Linked DNA regions of Ovis aries. The main gene of each other region encodes a partner of the protein of the gene in region 2 in a complex. Links are inferred from orthologs where the notes say so. Each region holds a gene or a part of one and is shown on either strand. Other genes may lie near its edges. The genes, in order: ACSS1 and SIRT3.

Evidence for each region.
Region 1: the proteins of SIRT3 (region 2) and ACSS1 are in contact, whole or in part, in a crystal structure (PDB 3GLT), measured with the Homo sapiens proteins. The link is inferred for Ovis aries from reciprocal best matches to the Homo sapiens genes SIRT3 and ACSS1. Residues at the interface, in NP_036371.1 of Homo sapiens: Gly145, Ala146, Gly147, Thr150, Pro151, Asp156, Phe157, Arg158, Ser159, Glu177, Phe180, Gln228, Asn229, Ile230, His248, Ile291, Val292, Phe293, Phe294, Gly295, Glu296, Pro297, Leu298, Gly319, Thr320, Ser321, Leu322, Glu323, Val324, Glu325; in NP_115890.2 of Homo sapiens: Ser640, Gly641, Lys642, Val643, Met644, Arg645.

Annotation. Positions count from the first base shown.
Region 1 is NC_056066.1:42,191,985-42,195,787, forward strand, and holds part of ACSS1 (acetyl-coenzyme A synthetase 2-like, mitochondrial), read right to left. Parts: intron 3,390-3,803; coding exon 3,252-3,389; intron 1,072-3,251; coding exon 979-1,071; intron 101-978; coding exon 1-100. UniProt on the Homo sapiens protein: Catalyzes the synthesis of acetyl-CoA from short-chain fatty acids. Acetate is the preferred substrate. Can also utilize propionate with a much lower affinity. Provides acetyl-CoA that is utilized mainly for oxidation under ketogenic conditions.
Region 2 is NC_056074.1:47,445,916-47,450,327, reverse strand, and holds the start of SIRT3 (NAD-dependent protein deacetylase sirtuin-3, mitochondrial), read right to left. Parts: upstream 2,946-4,412; 5' UTR 2,923-2,945; coding exon 2,840-2,922; intron 1-2,839. Other genes in the region: PSMD13 (26S proteasome non-ATPase regulatory subunit 13), read left to right, coding at 3,914-4,008.

The DNA.
Region 1 (3,803 bases), on a different chromosome or scaffold from region 2:
AGAACGGGAACAATGCCGAACAGGGGCCTCATCGCCATGCAGGGCAGGATCTCTGCCCCCTCCTCTGAGGGCCGTGGAGAGATGCAGATGCCCCCCGTTTCTGCAGGGGATAAGAAGAAACGCCAGTGGGCCTGGGGCTACTGACACGTGCGTCCAGACCGCATGGGCACTGGGTCCACACAGCACACAAGGGTGCACGCCAGAGAGGGAGGGAAGGACCTGCCATCCGGGGCAAGGAAATGGCCCCGGTGACAAAAGGACCTCTGTCTGAGGAGAAACCAGGCTAGAGTGCTGGTCCCTCCACTGTGGAAACAAGAACACACCTAGGGCAGCCCCAGGAGCTGAGGTCCCCAGCCTGTGTCATGGGGACATGGGGGCAGCGGAAAGGAGGACAGAGGAAAAGAATGCTCAGGGCAAGGACCCCAGACAGGGAGAACAGCCCCAGGTTCTGCCCCTGGTCATTTCTCTGGATTCATCAGCCTGCAGGGGAAGGCCCACCAGGGCTCCGCTGTAGGGAACACCCAGGGCCTTTCTGAACCACGAGGCCTGCAAACCAGGAACATCTCTTTCTGGCTTCTTGAAGGATGAGACTTCAGCCACTTCAGTGAGGGGTCTCTTGGCCCCCAAATTCTGATAAGTCAGACACCCCAGAGGAGAGGGGCAAATCAAAGCAAAACAATGCAAATAAAACTTCTTTTCCCACTAACATCTAATCCTAGACTCAAGGTCCCTTAAACAGCAGGCCCCAGGCTAGACTATGCTGGGTTCAGGAGGTGGGCCGCCATGGACGGGACCCTTGTGGGCTCCTGTGTCACCCCCTCCACGCCCACCCAGGCCCCACCTTACAGACGAGGAAAGGAGGCTCGGGGAAGCCTTCACACCCAGGTGTCAGAGCTGCAGAGCAGCAGCAGCCCCGAGCTCCTCTCCCCAAATGCCAGGCGCCCATGGGGCTGAGCCTCCCCCGATGGACAGGCTCACCTGTCTGCCACCAGGTGTCTACCAGCGTGCACCGGCCGTCCCCCACCACCCTGTGCAGCCACTCCCAGGCCTCGTGGTTGATCGGCTCTCCCACTGCAACCATACGAGACAGAAGTGTTAAGAGACTCCACAGGGCTGAAACCAAAGGAGCGGATTTCATGAGGAAAACAGATCTGTTAGTTGTCCTGAAAGGCACACAGGAGACTTGAGAAAGCAGTGAGATCATCCTCTTTATGGCCATTGAAGAATACAAATGACAGTGAGATATTTTCAATATCAGGGGGTCAAAAACCAAGAGGCTGGCAAGAGTGTGGAGGAAACACCAGCATATACACCACCCGAGTGCAGCTTGGGAGCGATGCAGGCATTTCTCTTCCTGTTTGTTTATGGTCATCCCAACTAGGGACCGAACCCATGCCCCTGCAGTGGAAGCTCAGAGTCCTAACTACAGGACCACTAGGGAAATCCCTCTCTTCCTGTTTAGAAGTGACACTCCTGCTGCAAATGCTCTAGGCACCTGCTGCTGGCAGAATGCAGTAAAGCCACACATGCTTGTTCTGTGATGAGAAGGCAGCGCCCAGCCCCAGAAGGAAAAATGGACGAGGGTGTTCCTGCAGCCTGCAGCTAAAAACGGTCCGTGGAGCAGAGAATGGCAAAGTGAGTCATGGCACTTTCCTGATGGCCAAAGCATGCAGCAGTCCCAGTGCAGGAGCCGCTGTGCTGGTCACCCCTCTGCCAGTGCAGCCGCACGTCGTTGCGGGGAAGTCGTTCTGGCTCACAAGCCATTTAACTTGGACTTAGGCTGACGACAACAGCTCATCTGTGGCCTGTCAAACAGACCCTGTAATCTGCTTTAGTCATTAAAAAGCAGGGAAAAGGGCATACCGACCAGAAGTTTAGGAGATAAGAGATAAATGCCTCCTGCCTGGGATGCCAACACTGGGACTCCTTTGATGATAAGACTCTTCTCCTAGGGCCACGGCTGTACTGACTCTGTGTACGTGCTGAGGGGCTTCTTCAGAACCTTGAAGGCATGTATTCCTGACTTGTTTGATGTACTTTGTTCTGATAAGACATAGAATTGCTAAAAACCATACTTCTCTGGCAGAGAAAGCAATGGCAACCCACTCCAGTTCTCTTGCCTGGAAAATCCCATGGGCGGAGGAGCCTCGTAGGCTGCAGTCCACGGGATCGTTAAGAGTCGGACACAACTGAGCGACTTCACTTTCACTTTTCACTTTCATGCATTGGAGAAGGAAATGGCAACCCACTCCAGTGTTCTTGCCTGGAGAATCCCAGGGACAGGGGAGCCTGGTGGGCTGCCGTCTATGGGGTCGCACAAAGTCGGACACGACTGAAGCGACTTAGCAACAACATACTTCTCTGGAGCAGCTCCTCAGATCTAGCCTCCTCAGCTTGGCTTGAATAAAACTCTCTTCTATTTTTATTAGTTGCTCGCAAAGAGTCGGACACGACTAAGCGACTAAATAACAATTCTTATTATACACTGGTTACTAATTATTTTCCTCAACAATACTCTGGTCTCAGAACACCCCACAGGCCTCTGCTATTGGCACTGGTTATGCGGCTGGGCTGCCCCGTTACAGAGGCCCGGCTAGCCTGTGAGGGCTCCCTGGGGCAGGGGGTTTCGGCACACTCCTGGTCCGAGAGAGTGGCTCTGGTCATGGGCTTTAGGGAGTGAGGCCCACAGGAGTCTGCCAGGCCTGGGGGACACACAGACCCTCAAGCAGCGTCTCCCTCATTACCTGGTCCTGCTTCCTTAGCAACTAAATCCCCTACGGGAGAACAGGCCTGAAACCTTCCCCCTCCAAGGACCACCTCAACTCAAGGTCACCTTTCCAAAATGTCCTCACGTGACCTGGTGACATGGATCCAAATTATCATAAAAGTGAAGGTAACCTCTAATCTCGCAACACCATCCCTGCCTGGAGACACGCACCCAAGGACAGAACGGCACAGATGCCCGTGCTGGGAACAGAGTGGGTAAAATCCCGGGCAGCAGTGGGGAACCAGCCAGGGCCTGACCTTCCCACAATGCTGAGTTTTCATAATGAAGACGGAGCACAGCCAAGGTCGCAGTGCTGAGCTCCAGTCCCTCCACGGCTGTGGGCTCCGGAAGAGGGCTTCCAGGGAGGACATCTGCTTTCTACAGCTGTGGCCACATCAAGTGGACTCAGCGCAGACATGGCCATTGTGATGAAGCATCCAGAGGCCTGCGCGGCTCCGATACACACACGCCTGCAGCCGCTCACCTGAGCCCAGGGTCCGCAGAGAAGAGCGGTCATACTTCTTCACCCAGGAGTCCTCGAACTTCAGCAGCAGCCGGTAGGCCGTCGGGGCGCCATAGAACTGATTGATCTTCAGCCTCTGCACCATCTCCCAGTACCGACCTATGAGAGGCCCCGGGTCATGTCACCTCCGTGAGCCTCACTCAGAGGTGACCCACGTTACCATGTGCTGGATGCATGCAAACACCTACAGTGTCCACGAAACCCACTCTGCACCACTGCTGGAAGGGGAGGGGCTCCCCGTGCACCACCTCCGCCTGGCCCTGGGCCTGCCAGCCCACGTCCTGACCCACGTGACACGGCAAGGAAGCAGTCAAAGGGATGTTACGGTGAAGTAGCACCAATGCAGAACCCACGTCCAGGAGGACATAAACAGCCTCCAGAGGTGACCAGTGCTCCCTGGAGCAGCGGTGACACACAGGATGCACAGGCCCTATCACCCCCAACTCACTGAGGCCACCTGAGACGCGCCTCCCATCCCTAGCCAGGCCCCCTGCGTGTCTTCCAGGAGCACAG
Region 2 (4,412 bases):
TTCTCCTCCACCCAAGTCTTCCATAAAAGCACCAGACAAGGCAGCTCTCCTGAGTGCACATCAGTGAACTCTCCAATGGGGTTTTCCATTTGGTTTCTGAAAACCATAGTTAGGAAGGAAAAGGATGGCTCTGGCTACAACCACAGCTATGAAATGTCCACTTCACATAGCGTCGAGAACATCTGTTCACCTAAGGTCCTCAGCCAAACATTTCTGTGCTCCTTCTAAATGAAAATTATGGGAAATACAAAAGGAATGAGAGGAAAGTTCTGATATTGTGATTTAGAATTTTTTGTTGTTGTTGACAAAGTAGAGAATTATATATATATTCAGTTCAGTTCAGTCGCTCAGTCCTGTCTGACTCTTTGCAACCCCATGGACTGCAGCATGCCAGGCTTCCCTGTTCATCACCAACTCCCAGGGCTTGCTCAAACTCATGTCCATCAAGTCAGCGACGCCATCCAACCATCTCATCCTCTGTCTACCCTTTCTACTCCTGCCTTCAATATTTTCCAGCATCAGTCTTTTCCAGCGAGTCAATTCTTCACATCAAGTAGCCAAAGTATTGGAGTTTCAGCTTCAGCATCAGTCCTTCCAATGAATATTCAGGACTGACTTCCTTCAGGATTGACTTTGGATCTCTTTGCAGTCCAAGGGATGCTCAAGAATCTTCTCCAAAACAGTTCAAAAGCATCAATTCTTCGGCGGTCAGCTTTCTTTATAGTCCAACTCTCACATCCATATACAACTACTGGAAAAAACATAGCTTTGACTATATCTAACAATACATACTTTCGGTCTTAGTCCCAGAACCCTTAGAATTTCCTAAGAGCAATGGAAACACCTTCTGTTACAGTATTTGGTCTTTTGGCCTCAGGCCCTGAAATCCCTTCAGAGCTCTGAAGTGAAATGAGTGTCCTGTTATTCATAACAAGCCTCTTACAACTATGCTGAGTTTATGTTAATGAGGTGATTACTGGAAATCCCCTAAGGATGGGGTATGGTTGCCAGGGAAACCAACCACAATTAGAGGGTTGGAATCTCCATGAAAACCCAAAAGCAAGTGGTTCAGAAGGCTTCCAAGGGCCAGGCCCCAAACCCCACGGGGACAGAAGCTCCTGCATTTGGAGCTCTCCCAGACCTCAGCCTGGGCGTCTCTTTATCTGGCTGTTCATTCATACTTTTTAATATCCTTTATAATAAACTAGCAATCTACTCAGGGAACCGGTTTCTTGAACTCTGTGAGCGGCTGTAGATTAATCACATCAGAGGAAGGGTCATGGGCAGCTCCAATCTGTAGTCAGCTGGTCAGAAGCACAGTGGACCTGGATCAGTGGCTGAAGTGAGGTTAACCGCCCTTAACCTGTGGAATCTGGTGCTGTCTCCAGGATGACAGAGTCAGAATTCAGTTACATCTGACATCCGGTTGGCGTCTGTGGAAAACTGAAAAGCTGCTCGCTGGTATTGAAATAAAACCCATTGTCGAGTGCCTACTGGAGTGCAAGGTAACACTCAGGGTACTCAATGTGGACTTTTCGTTTACACAAGTGAACCGTCTGTCACTGAAAAACACATAGACAGAATTCTGCCAAACATCTAGAAAATACTGAAGGTGTAGGACTTAAAGCAAATGCTACATGGAATGAGATTTACTGAGAGCAGGGGTAAGCTGAGGAGCAAGCACAGACACTGCTTGGAAAACGGAGACAAAGGGCACTTTCAATCAGGAGCCCCTAAGACACAAGCTCGAAAGGCAGAAATTCCAAACCGGAGACAGCCTACGCAAGCACGCTGCTCTCCACGGGCCGTTAGGCCTCCAGTCTGGGCCGCAAGTGGTAGCAAGGGCTTACTGATTGATAAGCTCACTATTTAGCCATGCCCCAACCACACAACTGCCTGCAGATTCTGAAACTGAAATAAGCTCCATGGAGGCAACAATTTAACCCCTGCTCCATCACTGCACCTGGAACAGTCTGGTGGATGATAAGTCCAACAAAAGTTTCCTGGATGAAAGAAAGACTCCTCCTTGGTATCTCTTTATTAAACTCCAGTATTTCTGGTAGTTGTGTAAGAAGGCATTAAGTGAATGTACCATTATTTACTGAAATATTTGTCCATTATTGGGCATGAAGTTAGTTTCCTAACAACTGTGATTAACAACTATGGTCTTAAGATTTTTCCACTTGTACGCCGGATTTCTAGACAAGGATTCAAAATGCGCAGTTACTGTGTATGAACCTCAGTAAGGGTATGAACATATGCTGGTGGGAGTATTCATTGCACAACGTTTATGTGGGGCAATAAAGTGTAGACACAGGACTTCCACTACTAGAGATTTATCCAAAAGGTGGAGTACGAACAAGGTTATTCAACACAGCACTATTTCTAATAACCAAAGATTAGAAACATTTTCAACACGAGACTGGTTAAATTAAGTATGAAACGTCCAAAGAATGGAATTCTACAGACTAGCATAAAAGACTGAGAAAGCATTTAAGTTTAGAATGGAAGTAACTCCAAAACACGTTAAGTGGGAAAAAAAAAAAAAAGAGAGAGGTACAGAACAGAATCTAACTAAAACGGGGGCCGGGTGTCAAGAATGAACATTAAGTGTTGTTTACACACGTCCAAAATACCCTTGGGAAGAAACGAGAAACCGTTGCCATCGGGACTCCAGAACGCCCTTCAGAGCCGCCTGAGCCACGACTTGCCATTTTCAGCTTCTCCAATCGTCCCGCTGACCACGCAGGGGGAAGCCTGACATCCCTGCTCGCCTGAGGGGGTCGGTCTCCTCCCTGGGCCCCGCCCAGCACCACAGCCGCCCCCGCCCGGAACGAACCGAGGCCAGCGGGTCCACGCCCGCGCACCTCGCAGGCCCCAGAACCTGAGGGCTGGAACAGCTGAACAAGGAAACAGCGCCATTCTCCTCCGCAGCGCGCAATGTCAGGTGCCCAGGGGTCCCGTGCGCGCCCCGCCCCCCCGCGAGCGCGCCCCGCCCCCCCGCGAGCGCGCCCCGCCCCCCCGCGAGCGCGCCCCGCCCCCCCGCGAGCGCGCCCCGCCCCCCCGCGAGCGCGACCCGCCCCCCCGCGAGCGCGACCCGCCCCCCCGCGAGCGCGACCCGCCCCCCCGCGAGCGCGACCCGCCCCCCCGCGAGCGCGACCCGCCCCCCCGCGAGCGCGACCCGCCCCCCCGCGAGCGCGACCCGCCCCCCCGAGCGCGCCCCTACCTTAGCCTCACGCTCTTTCCCCGCCCCTGTGCGTCTTTCCTGCGCGTCCTTCCTGGCCGTCCCGCTCAGCTTGTCCCGCCCCTCCAAGCGCACCTTCGCCAGGTCTTCGCGAGCCCTTACCCTAGCCTCACGTTCTCTTTCCCCGTCCCAGCAGCCCAGGTGGAGGTGGACGTCAGGTGGGGGCGGTTTCCTATTCTGTTGAGTTCCCGCCTCTGGTTCCCAAGACCAAACCTGGAACCTGCATTTCTCTACCCTCGCTCTCAGCTTTTTTCTGTTGAGATGGAGATGAGAACTGACAGTTTGGGGGACGCTTTTTGTGGTCAGGCATCATATTTATACTTAGTCCTCGCAAGCCCCTACTAGGAAGGTGGTATTGTTAACCCGACTTGAATCAAGAACATTGCGTCACAAAGGTCACAAAGCCAGCTCGACCGAGGCGCCCGTACTCTTCAATGCCTCAGTAGCACGGCCAGCTCCGAGGGGAAATCCGTTACAAACCCTGGAGAGACCTGGGTCCAAAGCCAAGAGGCGCGGTTACTATGACAACCAGCCGGCGCCTAAAGCTGAGCATAGTGCTCCCAGCTTGCCTCGCGTGACGCAGCGCCGGAAGTGAGTGAGCACTTCCGGCGGCCTCCTCCGCGCCCTGGCATCGCCGCGATACTGCTTTCCCCGGTTGTTCCTGCAGTCATGAAGGACGTATCCGGCTTCTTACAACAGAGTCAGAGCTCCGGGCCCGGCCAGGCCGCCGTGTGGCACCGTTTGGAGGAGCTCTACACCAAGAAGTGAGCGCCGAGCCTTAGGGCCGTGGGCCTCCTGGAATAGGAGAGCGACAGGGGGGACGGGGTGGGCCTGGATCTTGGTGGACTGAGGGCGCTCGGACCCGTGTGGATTAAATGGGGACAAGCTAGACAGAGAAGGGGTGCTGAGGGACCCGGAAGGCAGGACCGAGGAGGGAAAAGGGTGACATCTCGCAGGGCTGAGGAGAGCCAGACTGGGTTTTGGGATCTAGCGTTCGCTGCCTTCTGGACCTGTGACTGAACAGATACCGATGTCTTATAGTTAGCCTTGTCATAACCTACTGTTACTTTTCTCAGAAGTCTGGAGAAACGAGACCAACCAGAGACCAGGGCATTTTTTTCCTCTGTGGATTCTGCCGCTAGTTGCTAGTGGTTGCTGGCGTGCAGCC